Linked DNA regions of Mus musculus. The protein of the gene in region 1 interacts with the protein of each later gene in a biochemical or structural test. Links are inferred from orthologs where the notes say so. Each region holds a gene or a part of one and is shown in the gene's direction. Other genes may lie near its edges. The genes, in order: Nid1 and Fbln1.

Region 1 (11,107 bases):
AGAGTCTGGCAGAAGCCTCTTGCTGGCTGAGAAGGGAGCATTCAAGCACAGTTAGCAGCAATGGCTTAAGGCCTTCCTCCCTTCCCAGCTGTCAGCCTGTAATTTTCCAGTCATCGCCCTAGAAATGGAATTTACAGTAAAAGGACACCAACCCTTACCTAACCTCAAACCCTTATGCAACCCTAGTGGCTCCTGGTTTTATCTTATCAGATTGTAATTCAGAAGTCACCCCTGAAGGCATTCTCTAATCTCAGGTTTGGAAAAGAGAAACAGATGGAGGAGGCTGAACCTGTCGAACAACAAAATTCCAGAAGCTTCCAGAAGCTTCTAAGAAGTCACTTGGAGACGCTCATGTCCTTTCTCTGAGCACCTTTCCGTTTTGAATAAGCTCCAGTTCTGCTCTTCCTGAAATTCTTTTAGGCTGTTTGACCACAATGCCATGGATCCAGTTTTTGTCCAAGAAGAGTCTCTGATAAAGAACTCCAGAGGTTAGGCAAGTGACAGTAGAAAGCCAAGCTCTACCCTGTGTTGATGTTGATGCAACCAGATGTGGCAGATGTAATACACACCCTGGTCCTCACCTGGAGGTGAGGGCAGGGACAGCAGCTCAACACCTGCTTTGGGACTCTAGCATCTGACACATTAAAGCCCGAGGCTACCAACTGCACACACTGGCTTGTATAGAGCTCTGAACTCACTAGGTCTTCTAGGCCTCACAGGGTCATGTAACTCCTGACCGTTTTAGAGCTGAGATGGTTGTGGCGACCCGCAGACTACCGTGACTCTGTAGTCATGGCAACAAATAGTTCTGCCCATAGTGGTGGTAATAGGACTGTTAATTTTACATCTCAGAAGGGGGAAATATGTCAAAAACTCTCACCTGGCCTGCAGGAACTGCTCTCTCCTGTTTCAGTTCCAGCTGCTTGTGGGCTAAGAGGGAGTGGTGCTAAGCTATATAAGAAGTAGAAGGTTGGCTGAGGGTTAGCACTCCATTGATAAGTTGTCACATGCTATGATGGGACTTTTGGTGATCCAACTATCTTCATTAGGGTTCTATTGATGGATGAAACACCATGACCAAAAGCAATTAGAAGAGGAAAGAATTTATTTTACTCCACAGAGTAGTACATCATCAAAAGCAGTCAGGAAAAGAATTCAAATAGGGCAGGAATCTGGAGGCAGAAGCTGGTGTAGAGGCCATGGAGGAATGCTGCTCGCTGGCTTGCTCTCCATGGCTTGCTCAGCCCTCTAGTGATACCCATGACCAACTGCCCAGGGTTGCCACCACCCCAATATACTGGATGCTCCCACATCAAATTATTAATTAAGAAAATGTCCTACTGACTGATCCTTGGATCAATCTTATGGAGGCATTTTCTCAACTGAGATTCCCTCCTCTCAGATATAACTCTAGCCTGCGTCAAGTTGACACAGAGCTAGCCAGAACACTGTTTGGGTCCCCTGAGATCTTGTAAGCAACATCTAGACATGGATAGAACTATATCTTCTGGAGAGTTACAGACAATTGTGAGCTGTCAGATGTGGCTGCTGGGAACCAAACTTTGAGCCTCTGCAAGAACAATAGACAAACTTAACTGATGAACTATCTCTCCGCTCCCACCTTGTTTTTTGAGATAGAACCTTACGTTGGCCTGGAAAGTGCCAAAAACAAACACCAGGACCTCCCTCCCTGGACCCTACCTCTCTGGTGCTGGAATCACAAGCATGGGTCACTGCGCCTATCTTCATTTTTTAAACTTAGATTTTAAAAAGAAATGTTTATAGCATTGCAGATCAACTAAGACCCTTGTTTATACTAAGTGCATGATCTACCATGAAGCTGTACTCCTAGCCCACATTTTTTTAAAAAAGGGTGTATTATGGAATTATATGTTCGTTTGTTGCTAGTGAAGTTATCAAATTATTCTTAAAAGCATCATCAATGCCTTTAGTGGGGACACACATCTGTAATCCCAGTGCTTGGAAAGCTGAGGCAGGATGGTTGCTGTGAGTTTGAGGCCAGCCTGAACTACATGAGCACCAGAGAGGTCAACCTCAACAAAATATCACCCCAGCATTCAAAACAGTATTATTAAAGTTTCATTTTTATTTCCATTCTAATGTGTGTAGTGTGTGTATGTGTGTGTGTGTAGTGAGTGTGTATAGTGTGTGTATGTGTGTGTGTAGTGTGTGTATGTGTGTGTGTAGTGTGTAGTGTATGTGTGTGTGTAGTGTGTGTATGTGTGTGTGTAGTGTGTGTGTGTATGTGTGTAGTGTGTGTGTAATGTTTTACAAGTGTAGGAGCATGTGTAAGGGTGCATGTGCACTCGCAGCACACTGATGTGGAGGCCTGAGATTAGTAATTGGAATCATCTTCAGTTAGTCTTTCACCTTATTCATTAAGGCAAGGTCTCTCAATCAAATCCAGAGTTCATGGATCTGGTAAGTCTTACTAGACAGACTTCTCTGGGGAACCTCTGTCTCCATCTTCAGAGGTTAGAATTCCAGGGAGGCCAGCACACCTGCCTGACATCTGTGTGGGTTCTGGGGATCAGAGTCCTCCACATTCATGCTTGCAGAGCACACACTTTAGCCTAATAAACCATCGCACAAACCCCTTGCTTCACTTATTGAGAGTGGGTTTCATGTGACCTCAGCTGGCTGCAAACCTTTCCATGTAATCAAGGATGACCTTGAACCCTTGCCCTGTCTCTGTCTCCCAAGTATTGGGATTACAGGTGTGTGGCCTACTGAAGTCTTAAAAAGTTAACCCTTTTCATGTGCACACAGTGCTCTAGAGTTAGAATATAGATCCTTGATCCAAAGAAAGGAAAAAAAAAATCACATGAAACAACTAGAAAAAAAGACCATATTATTATAAACTGTATCATTGTTTTGGCCCAGGCTGGCATTGAGCACACTATGCAATTGAGGTTGGCCTTGAACTCCTGATCGTCCTGTCTCCATCTCCCAAATGCTAGAATTGCAGGCGTATACCACCATACCGGGACTTTACATACATTTGAAAAATGTTCAGAGCACAGTTTGTGATGCAGATTATGAGAACTATCTGGAAGTATAACTCCTAAAGGAACAGGGGACACAGCCTGCAGTGTCCCTGGTAAGATATTCAGCAGCAGAATTAGGTCTCCCAGAGACAGGGCAATGTGAAGTGACTGCAGAGCTATAAATAGTGACAGCCAGTTTACAGTACAGGCTGATGAAGTATGGAACCATAAACACACATAGAGTGTGGCTGTTAGCTAGAAACACCGGACCAAATGCATCTACATGTAGAGACTAAGTTCTCTGTTTAGGTGGCAGAAACCTTGTCTGCTATGGAAAGGAGAGATGGTGTAGCAGTTTTGGGGTTAAACAAAGCAAGGCTTAAGCCCTTGCTCTTCCACTAGCTGTGTGAGACTGGATGAGGCTCCCCAAATTCACCACATGGTTCGGCTGTAGCTTCACTAGGCTCCAGAGAAGCCCAAAACCTCACAAGCAGCGTCTAGCCTCACTCGCTGTATATTTGTTGGGCCATTATCTTGCCCTTCCCCCCCCCCAGGATATTGCCATTTTCTCACAAAAGGGATTATGTATTCATGTCTATGGTATCTGCCTGGTACCTTCTCCAGAGATGTTGAGCTAATCAACATGACAACAACTTGTTCAGATAATGATGGAGGCTTTGCGTTAACTAGATTATATACTTTGTCTAATTTCGGGATCACCTTATCTAACCCTCATAACAATTCCTCAATTGTCCCTGTGAATATCCCAATCAAATGATAGGGATACAGAAACTTTGCGCTCTTGCTACGTTTGTGCAGCCAGTAAAGGGGGGGGGTAGGGGGTGGGAAGGTGGAGGAGGAGGCAGGCTCTGCTCCTACAGTCACCAAGAAAAATTCCACTGGCCAATAGGAGTTTCAGCAGCTGTCTGAGTACCAAAAAGGGAGAGAATCTGTGAGAGGGATAAGTACATTCCAGGCACTGACCACAGCTTCGGGACAGCCCTGATGTGTAATGAGCTTGGGATGGGGGTTGAAGGGGAAAAGAAAGGTTGCAGGTGGGAAAAGGCTGGTGAGCTCCTTTTCTTGGCCTCTACTGGGTCTCAGTGTTGTAGGGGGTCCATGAGTACTCTGTGCAGGGGAACCCAGGCCTCTGCACAAAGTTCTCAGTAACTGAAACAAGGCAAGCTAAGGCCTAGGATCTTAGACATCAGCCAGGCAGTGCACAGATGGCATGGGGTTGTCAGGGAGCTAGGAAGGATACCTGGGCATATGGAAGGGATTGGAGCTGCACAGTAGATCTGACAAAAGACTTGAGCACCGGGGATAATGTAGCAGCACAGATGCAACTTAGTGTCAAGGTTTCAAATTCATGTAGTGGTTGAGGGGCTTGCCATGTGTAAAGCCTTGGGTTTGACTCTTCATACTGCAAATATGCTAATAACCAGCTGGATGTAGTGGCTCATACTTGTAATCCCAGCATCCAGGAGTCTGAGGCTAGTAGGCTGCCATGAGCTAAGGCCAGCCTGGACTATGTAATGAGACCCTGTCTCAAAACAAAACAAGGGTCTGGCCAGAGTGTTTGCCTAGCATGATGAAGCCCTAGGTTTCATTCCCATGCTGTGTGTGTGTGTGTGTGTGTGTGTGTGTGTGTGTGTGTGTGTGTGTGTGTTCGTGCATATCCAGAACTTGAGAGCTAGCTCAGCTGGGTAAAGTGTTGGCCATGCCAGCAGAAGGACCTGTTATTGAGAACCTAAGAGGAAATACTGAACACAGAACACTCCGTGCCTAGCAAGCTCTTGGTACCTGTTATTGCTGACCACTCAAGAGCGTCAATGAAAGGGCACCCCCCATAGATCAATAACTTCATGCTCAGGAGCTATGTTCCATTGCCTCTTTCTTCAGGATTTTGCTGGTTCAAGGCTCACGTTCTCCATTAGTCCCATCACACATAGTTTTCTGTATACTGGAGAACTAATGGAGGTTCCAGACCTTTACTCTCAGCTGCTGGGAGGAAACAGGGGCATCCTGTTGACCCCTCTGAGTCAAGGGTCGGACCCCGCCCCCCCATCCTCTTCCGGTGCTCTCAAAGCCTGCACTAGTTTTTCAGCCTTCCGGTGGAATTCAACTTTAACTTCATTTCTTCTCGGTTTCATTCTTTCTTTCATGACAATGTCTATTAATTTCTTCTCTGTCTCAACTTCTTCCCTTCTCACGGGTCACCCCCAGTCCCCAACAGGCTTGGTCCAGTGGTTTCTCTCTATATTTTCACTTAAGGTGCCAAACTAATGATCAACAGCTGACTGGAAATATTACATTGCTTAAAAGTTATCTTTATTCTGCCGGGCGTGGTGGCGCACACCTTTAATCCCAGCACTCGGGAGGCAGAGGCAGTCGGATTTCTGATTCGAGGCCAACCTGATCTATAGAGTGAGTTCCAAGACAGCCAGGGCTATACAGAGAAACCTTGTCAAAAAAAAAAAAAAAAAAAAAAAAAAAGGACTGTCCAGGATTCTCTGAGTTTTTAGGGGAGCTCAGATTCTTGGATTTGTTATTCAGCTTTGCTTGGACCATCGCTCCCAACTTCTCTGCACGGAGTTGATAATCGGGTCCCTGGAACCCGCCCTGCTCCCACCTTCCACCTCCCAGGACCTCCTTTCTCTAGCCTCTGATGAAACTGCATTACTTCCAGAAAACCCGCTTTGATTCCCAGCACGCCACACAGAAGTTTGCTCTGGCCAATTCCTCCATTCCCAAACTGTTTTTATTCCTTGGACTCCAAGCAAATCTGACTTTGAATTGTGTCCCACACTTGAGACTTTGTCTGGCAGGTGTGGGCTCCTGTTTCCTGCGGAATCCTATAACTTAAGGAACCCAGAATCAGGAACTGGAAAAATGCTCACTTAGTGATTGGATGAGTAAAGGCACACACATTTGTCAGGCTTTTTGCGCATTTCGAGCATCCGCTCAGTCTCCTTTCTAGGGTGGGTTCTGTCCCGTCCCTGGCCCCAAAGTGTTTGTTTCCTGGTTGCCCGCTCTCCAGGAACTTGCCTAACTGCAGAATGCTGTTGCAAAGTTCCTTCTTTCTGGATAGGAGCCCACCGTCGGGTTGGATCCGGAATGCTGGGAACCAACGCCCACTGCTGCGCGGGGGAACCTCGGTGTCGGCCCTCTTCCTCCTGCTCGCTGCCATTGGTAGACGGGACAGGCGGGGTGGGCGGGCCCTCCCCCATAGCCCCTCGGTTCTCCTCCCCATTTCCAGGGGTGGGGACGACGGGAGGCGGGAGGTGAGGAGGGACTGCGGAGGGGCGTAGGGTTATATCTGCGCCTCCTCCGCCTGAGCTGCTAAACCGCCGGGATTGTGGGACCACAGTTGGGAAACATGCTGGACGCGAGCGGCTGTAGTTGGGCGATGTGGACGTGGGCGCTGTTGCAGCTGCTGCTACTAGTGGGGCCCGGAGGCTGCCTGAATCGCCAGGAGCTCTTCCCCTTCGGCCCTGGGCAGGGGGACCTAGAGCTGGAGGCCGGGGACGACGTGGTATCCCCCTCCCTGGAACTGATCGGAGAACTGAGCTTCTATGATCGTACGGACATCACGTCGGTCTATGTGAGTTGGGGCCGGGAGGGGAGGAAGGCCAGGCTATGCTGGGGTCGCCAGTCCAGAGAGACAGATGTGGAACTTGGGCGTCGCCCTCCGGGACCCGAGTGCTAGCTGTCCCAGTGAGGGGCTCTCCGTTGAATCTGCGCATCTAGAGGATCGCATTGCTTGTCTGTCACCCCAGTAGCACTCGAAGTTTAGGGTGGCATCTGCCTCCGGGATCCACTCATCTATGCGCGCGCCCTGCCAGGATCTGGGGACCTCGAGTAGAGTTTTCCTTCTCGATTCCGTGCGCTTCTCGCCTTCCTACTGGGACAGGTCCCAGTACCCTGCAGCTCAATGGCCAGAGTTGGGTTGTATCCTGTGAGCGCTCCTAGGGACTCTGCCGATGGCAAGCTAGAAAGGACAGAGGAACCCTCCTGCTCCGCCCCAGAGTTTCAGTGGACAGCCCCTGCATCTGTGTGCGTGGGTTCTGGCTACGTCTTGGCAGAGATTTTGCTCTCTTAGTTGGGCTGGTTTCAGAGTACAGAGGTCAGGACTGAGAACGCAGGGCGCCCCGGTGATCCAATTTCCTGTGGCTGAGGGTGTCACCCAGGGGCCCCAGATGAGGAGCGGGACTTCATGACCTTTTAGCTCCCTTGAACCTCCCCAGTGCTGGCAGGGCCTGGGAGCGCTGTTAGCCTGGTCAAGCCCTTTCGTGCTGCTCCGGCACACCATGTGGATTTGATATAAAGCCTGCGTGCATTCCACAAGTGTGTGTGTGTGGGGGGACTACACAGACGGCGGGGGAGTGGCTATTCTCTCAGCCTGGCCTGGGCAGATAGCATGGGGCAACACCCACGTGCAGCTTGTCAGCTTTGCCTAGAAAGAATGGGTCACACCCACAAAGAACTCTTACCCTTTGCTGGCTAGTTGCCCTGGCCCCACCGTGGGAAGCCCGGAGAAGCCTATAGACTTTTAGCATGCTTTGAAATACACACAATGAAATCCTCCACCTTACCAAAGAAAACAACGTGGTGGAAAAAAAAAAAACACACACACAACATATTAAAGCATATACACCAATTTTATGTAGTATTGAGGCTTCTCCATCTTTCCCAGCAACCGCACTCCCCCACCCCCACCCCCGTTAGGGATGTGTTAGGGAGGAGTTAGGAATCAAAACCAGGACTTCCTGCATGACAGATAAGAACTCTACCAACTGCACTATATACTGGCCCCTCTTGTTTCCTTTTAAACCACACTATGTGTAGTGGAAGCTGGAGCAATGGGTTTGGTAACTATTAAAAAGGGTGGATCTGAGAAGTGATCTGAAGTGTATCAATAGTGTCTGTCAGATTCCACACGAGGCGAGAATATGAGTAGGGGCCATAGTGGTACTTGCCTGAAATCCCACACTTGGGAGGTAAGGCTAGGAAGTTCTGGAGTCAGGCCAGCCTGGACTGTGGAGTTTGTCTTTAAAAGCCAGGAAATAGCCTGTGAGGTGACTCACTGGGTAAAAGGCACTTTATTTGTCAATCCTGACAACCTAATTTCATACCCCCATCCCTAGGACCCACATAGTGGAAGAAAAAAACCTGACTCATCCAAGTTATCCTGTGTGTCCCCTCACTCCTCCTAATTTTAAAAACTCCCCAAACAAGCAAAGCACCAGACCAAACAAGCCAGACAGAGCTAGGGGTCAAGGGCCTGATTTAACTCTGGTGCCGGAAGCCCCCAAGGAAACCAGATGGAGAGTATCCTGTGTCTAGCAGACACTCAAGCTTCAAGCTAACAGTCTGGGAGAGGAAGGAAGGCTGGAGACCTTGGTTTACAAAGGGAAAGAGTAAATAAATACATACATGGACTGGAGGTGGTGGTGTAGGCGTGCACTCTCAGCACCGAGGAGGGAGGAGTAAGAGGATCTCGGGTTTGAGTTTGAGGATATCCTGGGGTACAAGAAACTCTCTCAGTAAGCAAACAGAATTAAGATAATTTTAGAGTTCTGAAAATAACAGCTATCCTTGATAATGCTCCAAAGAGGCAATCTCCCAAGTGTGGCCCACGGACCTCTGGGGTCAAGGAATTCAGAAGATGGAGGTGATTTTAAGGAATATTAAGTTTATTGCTTTTGTCTTTTTCCCCTTATGTGTATTTTATGTATATGGGAGTTTGCCTGCACGTATGTCTGAGCACCACATATGTGTAGTGCCAGAAGAGGGTAACAGACTCCCCGCTGGGACTGGGGATCCTATCTCTGTGTTGGGAATGGAACCTGGGTTAAATGTTCTTAACTGCTGACCCATCTCATCTCTCCAGCCCGTTACTTATTTTACTAAGCATTGTGATGATGATGACGATGACTATGATGATGCATCTGGGCACATGTGTGTGCATGTGTACATATGGGTACATGTGTGGAGCCTAGAGGGCGGGTGACCTTAGGAATGGGTTTTCTTCTGTTGTTATGAGCTGCAGGGATGGGATTTAGGTAACTCAAGACTTCAGGCTGTGAGACAAGCTGTGCCATCTTGCTGACCCCAATGGCTTTTAGACTTTAGTTGCTCAGGAATGTATGATGGAGTTCACTACGGGATGCATGATACCCACATGTCTGTTCCCACAGGCAAACGAAGAAGCATCTATCTGCCTTCCATATAGTTGGACATCAGGTTGATTTGCAGACACACACGTGAAGGAAAGTCTCATCTCTTCATATACTTCATGATGTGTATTTTTAAAAAGATTTATTTATTAATTTATTTAATGTATATGAGTACACTGTTGCTGTCTTCAGACACACCAGAAGAGGGCGTCAGATCCCATTACAGATGATTGTAGGCCACTATGTGGTTGCTGGGAATTGAACTCAGGACCTGTGGAAGAGCAGTCAGTGCTATCTCTCAAGCCCTCTCCAAATGTATTTTTGGTTGGAACTATAATCACCTGCATTAAAATAATGCTGTTTTTGTTCACACGTGACAAATTCATTATTAAAGTGTTTTAAGTATTTAACTTGATCTTTGCTTCCCCTTTCCATACGATTAAATGTTGATTATGGTCTTGGGGGAATCTTCAAAACTGAAATGTTCAAAGGGCTCCAGAAGTCAAAATTCCCGAGGGCTGATCATAAATATATAAAATCAAGACATTGAGTATAAAGACAGGAAGGACGCATTGTTGGGAATGTCTTCTGGAAGAGGCAGGTGCCATGTTGGATACTAGCGCCCTCCTGTGGTCCTCATCAGAATCCCTCCCTGCTTCATGATGTGTGAGTCCCCAGAGGAATGGTCCTGAACGGTCATCATTAGAGTCCAGCCAATAAAACCAGTCATTCACCAGATCCCACGCAGGGGCTGAGCCCCATCCAGAGCACTAAAGCACTAGAAATTTCAGAGCCTTGCTGCCCTGGTCCATGAACCTTAAACTCCCTGGGTGAGAGTTTTTGAAAACTATGGTAAAGTTGTTCCAAGGAATGAAAACATTTCCTGCCTTTGCCTGGAACGTTGTCTCCGTTGGTATGCTTGCTGTCATGTTGACTGGCCACCCTCACTGGGCGTGTAAGGCAATGAGTGATTTCTAGGACATGATTTTAGTGATGATTAAATTACTTGCCCATGAGTCATAAAGATGGATAAGCAAGTTAGATATGACTTAATATTTTATTCAAAAAACCTTCCATACAGTTGGGAATAGAATATCTTTAGCAACAAAAAGATTGTGGGCTAAAAAGCTTGCCCTGCAACCGTGAGGACTGGGGTTTGATTCCCCAGAACCCAGGGGAGAAAAGGCAGGAGTAGCATGCAGCAAGCCTGCAATCTCAGCACTTTGCAGAGGCAAAGCCAGAGGATTCCTGGGTCTTGCTGGTCCGTGTTTCTAGCCCAATCAGCAAACCCAAGGTTCAGTGACAGACACTGTCTCAAAAAGTAAGGAGGAAAGTGACAGAACAAGACAACTGATACAGACATCTGGCTTCCAAACGCACAGGACCATGTGCCTGCACAGACATGCATATATATGTACACACAGAAATTTATCGTATATAGTATATAGGTGTATACTCACGTGCATGAACACATATGAGCACACACAACCTTCTAGTTGTTCATGGGCAATACTGCTTAACTTACTGCCTCACAGGACCTTCAGGACTGCTATCTGAAGCTGCTCGGGATGTTCCACCCTCAGGGCCTCTGGCCCAGGAAGGAAGATGGCGATTTTAGCCTGTCTTAAGCCTTGAGCATCCAGCTTCCGCCTGGGACTGCGAGGAGAAGCACGAGCTCCTCATTTCCCCCAGGTTTCCCAGTGGTTGAGCAATGACTGGGGTTGAATCTCAGAATCCAAGGTTATTAATTCCACCAGGGACTGAAATATAATTGACTAATTATAGTGACCAACTTTTTTTCATTTTTCTTTTTTTTATTGGATATTTTCTTTATTTACATTTCAAATGTTATTCCCTTTCCTGGTTTCCCCTCCTAAAACCCCCTAATCCTCTCCCCTCTTCCCCTGCTCCCCAACCCAC
Region 2 (11,007 bases), on another chromosome or scaffold:
CATGTATGTGTGGTTACACATGTGAATACAGGTATATACATGTGTGGTGTATAGGTGCATGCATGCACAGTGTATGTGAGGATGTCAGAGGATAATCTTGACTGTTGGTCCTTAGGCACCGTCTACCTTTTGTTCAACATTGGCCTGGGATGTTGCTGAGTAGGTTAGGCTAGCTGGCCATTGAGCTCCAGGGATCCACCTGTCTGCCCTGCATCTGCCTTCACCAGGATTACAGTGCACAACATCACCACACGTGGACCCTTACGTGAATGCTGAGGCTCCTAACTGAGGTCCTGATTGCAAGGCAAGCACTGTACCCAACGAACCATCTGTCCAAGTCCTCTTTCCCTTTTGCCAGAGCCTTTGAAAAGGTTGGAACACCCCTCCAGATGGGACGGGCATGTCAGGCTAGATGGAAATGGGCTGCTTGCTGCTACACGTGTCAGTCAAAGAAATATGCCCTTAGCCAAAGCCTTCTGTAGCTCTTGTTAAATTTTGTACAATATATTTTGTTTCTAAAATTTTCTCTTCCCCAGCTCTTTCCAGATTCTTCCCACCTCCCTACCCACCCAACTTCATGTTCTTTCTGTCTCCCTCTCTCTCTCTCTCAAAAAAATATCATCAAACCATTACAACAAAACACACAGAGAAGAAACCATGGAGTCCGTTCTGTGCTTGTCAGCTGCTCCTAAGCATGTGGCCTGCCCTGGAATGGGGGTTGATCTACCCAGTAGCCTTTTATTGGAGAAAACAGACTTTCCCTCCCATCAGGGATCAGTTGCAAATAGGTTGACTAGGGGTGGAACTTCATGTCCACTCCCGGTCTCAGTGCTGGGGTTTTGTCTGCTTTGCATCTGTGCGGTCAATCTCTGTGTGTTCATATATCTGTGCATCAGCCCTGTTCTGTCTGGAAGACTCTGTCTTCCCTAGAGTCATAATGACCTCTGGCTCTTACATTCTCTCTGCCTCCTCTTCTGTATAGGTCCTTGAGCCTTGAAGTAGACGGGTTGGATAAAGACTTCCATTTAGGGCTAGCTGCCCCAGGCTCTCTCACTGTGCACCATAGGACAGCGCTTCAATGGGAAAGCCTACCCTCCTTCGTGGGGCGCTCTAAGAAGGCAAATGCTATGGGCAAACACGGAATATAACCGTGTGGAATGAGAAGTACAATGTTGAAGAAGGTAGTCACAGTGCTCCTCACAGGAAGGTGATGGGAACATGGGACAGGAGGACCTGAGTTCAGGAGAACAGGAGGGAGAAGCCATGGAGTGCCTCCAGCCAATTTCTGACTCCCAGAATGGGCCTCATGACTCCCAGTTTGTGCCATAGCCCACACTAGCCTGTGGGCCCCATGGAGGAAGGGGTTCTCTGCTCTCGAGGAGTATTTACAGGAGTTTAAAACAGATCTTACAGAATGAAATGCCACCTGTGAGGCCAGACAGTGATGCATTCTTAGTGGGGCCTCAAGAACTGACTTCCTTTCTTTTCCTTCGAATCTCCATCTCCTTCAGTAATCATGGCTGAACTCCAGCCAGGTGCTTGCCCAAACCCTGGGGAGGGTGGAGCAGGCATGAGCACAATGCAGTCTGCCCTGAATGGGAGGCTAGCTGGAACGTCCTATGAACTGGGCAGGTAGAGCATTACAGTTGAGAACACATGTCCTTCCTGCTCTCTGGGCCCCAACTTACTCTTCACAACCCTATTTAAATATCTGTTCCTCTATAGAAACTTCCCCAAATCTCCCTGTGTAGATTGACCTCTGTTGGATAGAGGGACAGATGGGTAGATGGAAGGATGGCTGGAAGAACAAATGAGATAGATGGGTTAAATAAATGGATGAGTTGGTCAGTGGGATGATGGATGGATGGTGGATGGATGGGTAGATGGATGTCGAATGGATGGATGGATGGATGGATCAATGGATGGATGATAGATGAGTGGATGGATGGATGGATAGATGGATGGATAGATGGATGATAGGTGGGTGAGAAGATGGCAGGTGATAGGAAGCTATGAATAAAAAGTTGGCACCAGAACTATCTATCCATTTGATATTTGTTGAGTGCCAGGCACTGGGGACCAGCTGGGTTTTATGTCATCTTTCATGAAACACTGCAGCCTGGTTTCAGTCAAGGTGAGGGCAAGAATGTGAAAGCCAGACTTGAACTAGTGAGACAGAGGAAACCTATTCTCTGAAAACACAGGTGCAAGAAAGTTTGCCTGGCTGGGAAGGATTGGGAGCTGGGCCCTCCGAGGGGTCCAGTGTGAGAAAGATAGCTCTGAGCTGAGTGAAGCTGTGGCTAGCTGCAGGTACCACACAGACTTCAGGTCAAAGGGGCAGAAGACAGAAGATTCTGGGCGAGCTGGAAGGGACACATTCCTTGAGCCTGCACCCACACAAGCTCTTGCTTAACCCAGGCAGTATTTCGAGCTGTCCTTAGTCATCTTTCTTGCTGTGCGCAAAGATCCTGAGCCACTGTAGGCTCTGAAAGTGACTCATGTCTATGATGAGGCCTGGCACCTGGAGGCCCTGTAGTCCTTCCCTTGCTTTGTTGCTTTGTCACACCACGTGACTTTTACAAACCAGACAACAGTATGGCATTCTGGTCTTCAGATATGACAGAAATGAACCTTCATAAATTCCCTGAGATGATGGGTTTAGATGCAAACATTTCCTAGCCATTGGAGCACAGAGATCACACTGAAAGATTGCATGTTTTATATCCAGCAGTCATTTCTGAATATGTGTGTGTGTGTGTGTGTGTGTGTGTGTGTGTGTGTGTTGCTGGGGACTAAATCCAGGGCCTTCACACTTGCTGGGAAGTGCTCTGTCACTGAGCTACATTTTTCTGGAAACTTTATTTTGAGACAGGATCTCACTAAGCTCCCAAGTTGGCTTTGAACTCACACTGTAGCCCAGAAAGGCCTTGAACACACAATCCTCCTGCTCCTACATCTCAAGTGGCTAAGATTGCAGGCCTGGGCCCCCAGTTTGTTTGGTTTCTGATTATGAAGATTGCTGGGTTTTATGTCTGTCCACAGGAAAGGAAATTGAGGCTCAGAGAAGTTAAGTAACTCCTCTGACTCCGGTTGGTCACGCTCAATCTCCGTGCCCCACACGTGAGTTCTCGATCACCTTTCTGACCCAGACCCACCCTCCACAACTACCATCGCATTCTCTACATTTTTTTAAACCTTATTTTATTTAGTGTACACACACACACACACACACACACGATGCACAGAAGACAGCTTTCAGGAGTCCATTCACACCTTCTGCCGTGGGTGCCAGGTACTACACTCAGGCTATCAGGTTAGTGTGCCAGTTGCCTTGCTCACTGAGCCATCTCACCAGGCCCCTCTCCTTTCTTACGGATTTCAGTGTCAGGCGTCTACTACATGCCCAGTCGTGTGTGAACTGTGGACCCTGTGAGGGGTCCCATGAGTATGTAGGAATGGTCACTTAAATGAGATATATTGACATACGTGTCAACCTGTAGGTGTGACAGTATGATCAACATGTTAATATTATATCAATAGGTACCTATAATATGACCCTTATCATTTAAAATTTTATTCAAGTTGGGCATGGTAATACATGCCTATCATCCTCCAAAAATGAGGTCCAGAGGATCAAAAGTTTTAGGTCATGATCTATTACATAATTTGTTTAAAGCCAGCCTGGGTTGCATGAGACCCTGATTGAAACCTACTCCCACAAAGAGATAAGATTTTATGATGTCTATGTTATATGTTGATATCTTATATATCATTGTATACAATCAACAGTATATGTGTATGTGTATATATATATATATATATATATATATATATGAATATATATGGATCAATGAAATATATGTTATATAAAATATCAGTATACATACATACATATGTATGTGTATATACATACACATATGTGTGTGTATATATATACATATATATACATATAAATATGTATGTGTATATATATATGAAATTAAGTTTCTTTGTATATATGCATGAGAGTTCAGAAGAGGTTTTGTACCCCCTGGAGCTAGAGTTATATAGTGTTGTGAGCCATTCAGTGTAGGTGCTAGGAATCGAACATGGATCCCTCTTAACCACTGAGCCATCTCTCCAGTCCCCATGAAATTATATTGAAATACTGCTTAATAGGAACAAAGCAGGATCCGATCAGAGCTTGAAGACATTCATCATACCACTGTCCTGTAGCAGATCACAGGCTCATTGGCCTCTCAGGGTCCCTTTGAGCAGCAGCTTTTTAGCCATGGGCCAAATGGTGTGAACACCCTTGCTCTCCCATGGCTAATGTCCCAGTGGCTGGCAGACACCCTGTGGGCCTGGAGCCTACAGGGAGAAAAAGTATGCATGGATTCAAAGGAACTTTATGAATATTACAGGCCCAGCCAGCATTGTGACCCCACCCAACCTGGCAGGCTGACCTAGCCCGGGGAGGGGCCCAGCGGTAAGCAAAGGGTGACAAGCCTTTCAGAAGCCATATTTGCATATAGGCCTTTGGAGGGACATGGTTGCAATGCTGTGGCTGCCGTGGGGATGAGAGTGAGGTGCTGACTGCCTGTGGAGGTCTGTAATGTCCCCTTCCCAAGTTAAAAACAGGTTCGCTTAGGGAGAAGTCTGTGGGTGATGTGTTGACAGATGGCATGCACGGGTATCTGGATTCTATGTTGCAGGATGTCCAAGGACCCGACTTGAAGGGACTTGGGGCTGCTACTCCTGGAGAGGGGGACCTACCCTTGTAATCTTCAAATGTCCCAGGAATAAACCATTGCTTTTTTTCTCCCTAGGGTCCCCGTCAGGGATCTAAGAAGGAAGGATGGAAGGAGAGAAGGCTCAATTTTATTTCAGGCCTTTTCTAGGGCCTTTGAGCCCTTGTTAGACAAATGGTAGTAGAAGAGGAAACCCAAGCTCCCCACAAGGACCGCAGCTGGCCTTGTCCCAGACCTGCCAATCCCCAAAGCTACACTGGCTGCTTCCCTCCCCTTCCAAGCTGTGTGTGACAGAAGGGATGTAGTGAGCTCACTGTCACCTTATCCCTAGTGACTGGAAGCAACCCAGAGTGACCAGGTGGAAGGGGATGGTTACCTTGGTGATTAAAGCGTCTGCCTCGGGCTACCACTGTAGCCTTGACATTCCCAAGGACCCCTTTCCCAGCTACCCATGTTGCCCCGTGCCTGCCAACACCCAACAGCATGCCTTCTGCTCTCTCCCCAGGTGTCGTGCGCCAAGTGCGGCCCATCGTGGGCCCGTTTTACGCTGTCCTGAAGCTGGAGATGAACTACGTGTTGGGAGGCGTAGTTTCCCACCGGAACGTCGTCAATGTACACATCTTCGTCTCCGAGTACTGGTTCTGAGGGCAGGTTGTGGCTCAGCCAGGAGTGTACCCCGCCCCCTGGCTACGCCCTTGCTGCCAGTGACAGCCAGGTGCCTGTCTCTACCCCTCGGGCCTCCCTTGATGTTTCATATTGGTTTGTATGGCCACGTGCATTAGGCTGAGCCGCATCACTTAAGTCCAGCTGGTGTACTGTGGCGTTTAAACATGGCTCAGCTGGGTGGTTGAATCCTTGCTTTTTTTTTTAAATGCAAAGGCCAAATCGGAATTTTGTTCCCTTTCTCTACCTGTGAGCTAGGCATTGCTAAGGACCAATTGAAGGAGTTTTCAAAGCAGCACTCCACCCAAAAGCCGAGGTAGTTCTCACTGAGTCTGCATGAGGATTGGCATTTTGGTACTTTTTTTTTTTTTTTTTTAACCAACGGGGCTCTTTGTGTTTCAAGTTGATGGCTGCTGTAGAGTGGCACATAAATAAATGTACAATAAATTCTCCCCAGAAGCAGCTGACAAGCATGCCTCGGGGGCACTTGGAAAGTGGATTGCAATTTTGTTCAAAGGAGGGCCCCTTGGTAAAGATGTGAGCTGCAAGGTTTGTGTGTGGCCTGGTATGGCTGTGGGGAAGGCTGGGATGTCCCAGTGTGTCTGGGGTGGCTGGTGTCTCCCAGTGTGTCCATGGGGGTGGCTGGTGCATCCCTATCTGTTTGTGAGGGTGGCCAGTATGTCCCAGTGTGTCTATGGGGGTGGCTGGTGTGTCCCCATGTGTCTGTAGAGATGGCTGGTGTGTCCCTGTGTGTCTGTAGAAGTGTCTGGTGTGTTTCAGTGTGTCCATAGAGGTGGCTGGCTTTCTTTGTACCCTGAAGCTGCCTTTCCTCACAAGAGTAAACAGGCTTTTGTGATCTTCCTGACAACCTACTATACACTCTCCGGATGGGGCTTCTGCTAGCTCAGAGGTCTTCCATGAGCTGGAGGACTGCAAATCTCTCCTAAAGCCAATTTCAAAGTCTCCCCTGCCCCCATAGCTCCAGCTAAGGGGTTGCAAAAGCTTCCCAGTCTGGAATCGTTGTTGTCATATTGTCTTGTTGCTATGACAAAATACTAAAAGCTGGGCTATTTATAAAGAATAAATGTTTACTTAGCATATATCCATATACATACACATATATGTATATTTTCTTTTCTTGGAGGTTGGGAAGTCCAGGTGCTGGCTTGACATCTGGTGTGGTCCTCTCTGCCCCATGACGAGGCAGGATGTCATCTGATGAGCAGGAATACTACTTCAGGTCTCCCTTCTAACAAAGCTCTTGACGACCTCCTCTAATCCCAGTACCCTCCTCCAAAGCCCCTACTTCCAAAATCCATCAATAAATACATGGATCTGGAGATGACGTTTTTATCATTTAACTTTCGGGGAGACACGTCTGAGCACATACCTGCCCTCTAAGAAGCTGACCGATGTCTGGTCCTGTCAGACACCTCTCTGAGCCGTGGGATTTCTGATTTGCTCCAAGTCTTATACCTCAGGGTCATCTGCGGCCTCACTAAAGCTTCCTGGGGTGGAGGGTGGTAGAGGATAACGACTCAAAGCTAACAGCACAAGGAAAGGAGGCTGCTGCCCATGGTATCCCCAAAAGATGCGATGACTGAGTCGTATGCTTGTCACAGGGTACTTTGTTTACTGGGTGTGATAAGGCCCAATCTCAAGAGAACCACAAAGGGCTCAGAGGGAAACTCTTATCGCCCGAGCTCACACAGCCTTTTAGAAACATAGATGGGTTCAAATTCTGGCTGTTTGGTCCTGAACTCTTGATACCCCATCCAGTTCAGCTGAATATATCACTTAGCAAACATCACTCAGCATCAGTCACGGGCATGACAGGACCCCGTATCAGGCTCCTTCTTTATACATAGACACCCAGCAGAGACAGATGGACAGGTGTGTCAGTTGCACTCAGCCCCAACCATGTGCCGTGGTCCCATGAGTACCCATGATTCTTACAAAAGAAATTGTCAGAGTCTCCCAACAATGGTGTGCCCTTCTTAACTGCCTCCCTAAATGCTTGAAGGGCTTCCCTGAACAGAAAGCATTTAATAAAGGGTCAGCAAAGAGACGCCAGTCACTTGCTGATCTCATAGAATGAGCTTCTCACAGATGGTCCCAGAAAGGTATCACACTGCCCTATGCTAACAGCAAGCTATTGGCTTTGAAGGAAGCTGACTTAGCTGCTGTTACAAAGCACGTGAGGAAATCAGTCGGAAGATTTATCTTGGCTCACACAGAAGTTTCCACCTAAGGCCTATTGCTTCTAGGTCTGTGGCAAGGTAGAGTGGGGAGCCAGGAAGTAAATAAAGGAAGATGGGAGGGGCCAGGAACAAGAGATTCCCCCTCAAAAACATGTCCCCATGCTCTACTTCCTCCAACTGGAACCCGCTCCTGAAGTTCCCACCACCTTCCTAGACACTGTTAAGTTATGAATCCTTCAGCGGATGAATCTTTTGACAAAGCCACAATCCCCAGGATCCAGTCACCTCCCTGTGGCCTCACTGACCACTGAGCTTCACTGCACTGGGGAACCAAGCCTCCAACCTGGGAGCTCCAAGAAACATTAATGCACAAATCCCAACAGAAGGAGACCTATCCAACTGCACTCAGGAGTTCTGTGGCTTGAAGCAGAGAGATGCTCAGGCCAGCCTATGTTTTTAAGAGATCAGTGTTGATAAATATATGAGAACCAAGAAAGAGCAGCAGAGGCCCTCCACCCCCACCCCCACCCAGCCTTCAGAACCAAAGATGGAAAGCCTGCCTTCCCAAGTCCCAACAAGGTTCTTGGGTCTGCTCTAGCAAATAGCCACCTGAAGTCAGCTGTTTGTTCTTTGCCTTTTACCTATTTTATTCAAAATTTCAAATATGCTTGTTGCCTAGCACCGGTCCTCAGAGCCAAACAGCTGCTGTCTTCATGGATTCCGTGGTGCCTGTTTGTACAAGATCATCACAGCTGACCTTGTTGAGTATTGGCCATTCCCTCCCAGGAGAAGGCTCTGAGGGCCACCGGAGCCTCACCTGAGCACCCAGCCCCTCCTCCCAATCACTTATATGCAGTCTTTCTCTTCTGCTCTAATTGAATGTAGCCCTGGGGTCTTGGGGAGTGGGTGCAGTATATAGTCTGGGGAGGACTAGGGGAATAAGGTTCTCCATCTCTGCAGCTGTGTGGGAGCCATCGTCCATGCTGGATGCAAACTTTCCAGTGTGGCTGCTCGAGGGAGGGTCACCAGCACTCCTGCCTGTGACACTTCTCCCACGTTCTGTACATAAGCCTAAGAAACTCACTAATTTATTAGTTCCTAGGGGGGAACTTTGGTTTGTCACTAGGACCCTACAAGGAGAAGGTCCAGTTGCCTTCTTAGTGGTCCATAGAGAGAAAATTCTTGCAATGACACAGCAAGGTTAGAAGGATTTTACAAAGACTGGCAGAGCACCTAGCACCTAGCACCTAGACTCTGCTCTTGAGGCATTAGGGGTCTGGCTGTACTTTAAATATATGGTGATAGGATGGGATAGAATGAGAGAGCCTGGTCTATAGGATAGGATAGAATGAGATAGCCTGGCCTAACAGTTTATCAGTCTTGAAGTTTGCATGTTTGGGTTCAGGGTCAATCACTCAGAAGCTCTGAGACACATGACCCTAGGTTTCACAGCATCATGTGGACTCCATGATGTGAACTCCGTGATGGGGTTGAGGCTTAGCTGGGCAGGGGGATGGGGTGGGGTTGGGGAGGGTGGAGAAACTGCTGCACAAAAAAGACCCCAGTCAGCAGCACTGGCGCTGTAGATGCATGAGAGGGAGCGGTTTTCATTCCATGAGTTGACACAGTTTATTAGAGTCTGGACAGGCAGTGAAGAGGTGATTTATAACTGTCCTATAAGCATTCGCCTATGTGTCTGCCCCTGCTGGGCAGGAAGCACCACAGTGGGGACTTATTCTTGTCCTCTTGAGGTTCCTCCCACAGAAGAACTTCTCTGAATGAGAAGCACCAAAGCTCTGCAAATAGACAGGAGGCGGAGGAAATGCTTAGACTCTTGCCACTGCGAAGGACAGCCCGTCACTGTGACAGCTGATGCCAGTAAGCTGCAGCAGCAGTGGGCGCCGAGGAAGGACAGTTTCCAGGGAGGCTTATTTTATTTACTTTATATTTGCTCATCTGTATATGTGAAGGTATCTGTGTATTCCACATGTGTGTAGGTGTCCAAGGAGGTCAGAAAAGGGTGTTGGATTCCCCTGGAGCTGGAGTCACAGGTAGTTATGAGCAGCCCAAGCTGGAAACTAATCTAAGGAACTCCGCAGGAGCAGCCAGTATTCTTAACTGCTGGGCCATCTCTCCAGCTCCCCGGGGCTCACAGCTGGCTCACAATTCAGATAATCCACTCCCAGGTATCTTGTTAGAAACTCTTTCTGAGATATAACAAACCCACCTTCCTTCTCCTCTCCTCTTTCATAACTTTAAGCCTTTTTCAGAAAATAGTGCATTTAAAAACAAACAAACATTAAAAAAAAAAAAAGATGCAGCCTTCCCCACACCAGATTCCAAGTACTGACTTTCAGGTCTATGTGCACCTCACCCATCTACGCTTCGAAAGGCAGACAGTCCTCAGCAGCTCAGTTGCTCAGTTGGACAATGCATCTATTCTCTCAGGCCCTGATCTTGGAACCCAAACTCAGAACCACCCCTGTTCCCAGACAAGCAACTTTCCAGATGGTAACCTCTCCATGACATAAGAACAGGCTGCTGGGGAGAAGCGGAGCCACTGGTCAATGATGGTTATGCGACAGTGCTCTGGGGTAGCAGGTTGGGCTTTGGATCCCGTCAAGGACATGTTGAGCCAGGTTCACCCCAAGGCCACAGTGTGGCCCTCGCTGTGGCAGCTACTGGATCTCAGAAGTGAGGGAGGACTGTTTTCCACTTGGCAAAGTAGGAGCGTCTTATCCCACAGCCCATCTTGACGATTTGATCGTTGCTCTTCACAGCCTCATCTAGATAATTGCATAATTAATTGTGTGCAGGTAATTCACCCAGGGGAGGAGGTTAGAGGGAATGGGGGCCCAGGCTTTCAAGCCCTGGAAAGATGCCAAGCAGCCTCTGTGCAGACCCCATCATGGGCATGCCTGTGTGTTTGGAGCCCTTGGCGTGTTCATGAGACCTCCAGGGGACAGCTCTGCTGGAACCCAGTGACCTTGTCTTGACATGCTTATACTATATAGACTTAAGTCAGAGACTGTTCCTCAAATCAGAGGCTCTGAAGGGTGGATAAGAAGGCCTCTCAGCTCAAGGGTGGAAGGAGATGGCCTTCCCCAGGAGCTTGGACCAGTCCATTTTTCTGGATGCTTCTGGAAAGTGGTGCCCATGATTTTTACTTCGAGATGCACTCCATGCCCCTCCCCCCCACCACACCCTCATTATCCACAAAGCCACAAAGCTCAGGGACCCAAGGAAGCCAATCTTCAAAGGAATGGACCCTCCTGGACAAAGTGCTTGCCCTCTATTTTCTCACTATAGGATGTAGATAGATTCCCAAGGTTGGTGCAGCTGTGGATACTGGAAGGGGCGGGGCATGGAGGGGCGGGGTATGGAGGGGTGGGGCATGGAGGGACGGGGCATGG

The links.
Region 2: the proteins of Nid1 (region 1) and Fbln1 form a complex in vitro, tested with the Homo sapiens proteins (3 studies listed by BioGRID). The link is inferred for Mus musculus from reciprocal best matches to the Homo sapiens genes NID1 and FBLN1.

The regions. Positions count from the first base shown.
Region 1 is NC_000079.6:13,431,315-13,442,421, forward strand, and holds the start of Nid1 (nidogen-1 precursor), read left to right. Parts: upstream 1-6,287; 5' UTR 6,288-6,387; coding exon 6,388-6,612; intron 6,613-11,107. UniProt on the Homo sapiens protein: Sulfated glycoprotein widely distributed in basement membranes and tightly associated with laminin. Also binds to collagen IV and perlecan. It probably has a role in cell-extracellular matrix interactions.
Region 2 is NC_000081.6:85,279,805-85,290,811, forward strand, and holds the end of Fbln1 (fibulin-1 isoform 1 precursor), read left to right. Parts: intron 1-5,235; coding exon 5,236-5,375; 3' UTR 5,376-6,490; downstream 6,491-11,007. UniProt on the Homo sapiens protein: Incorporated into fibronectin-containing matrix fibers. May play a role in cell adhesion and migration along protein fibers within the extracellular matrix (ECM).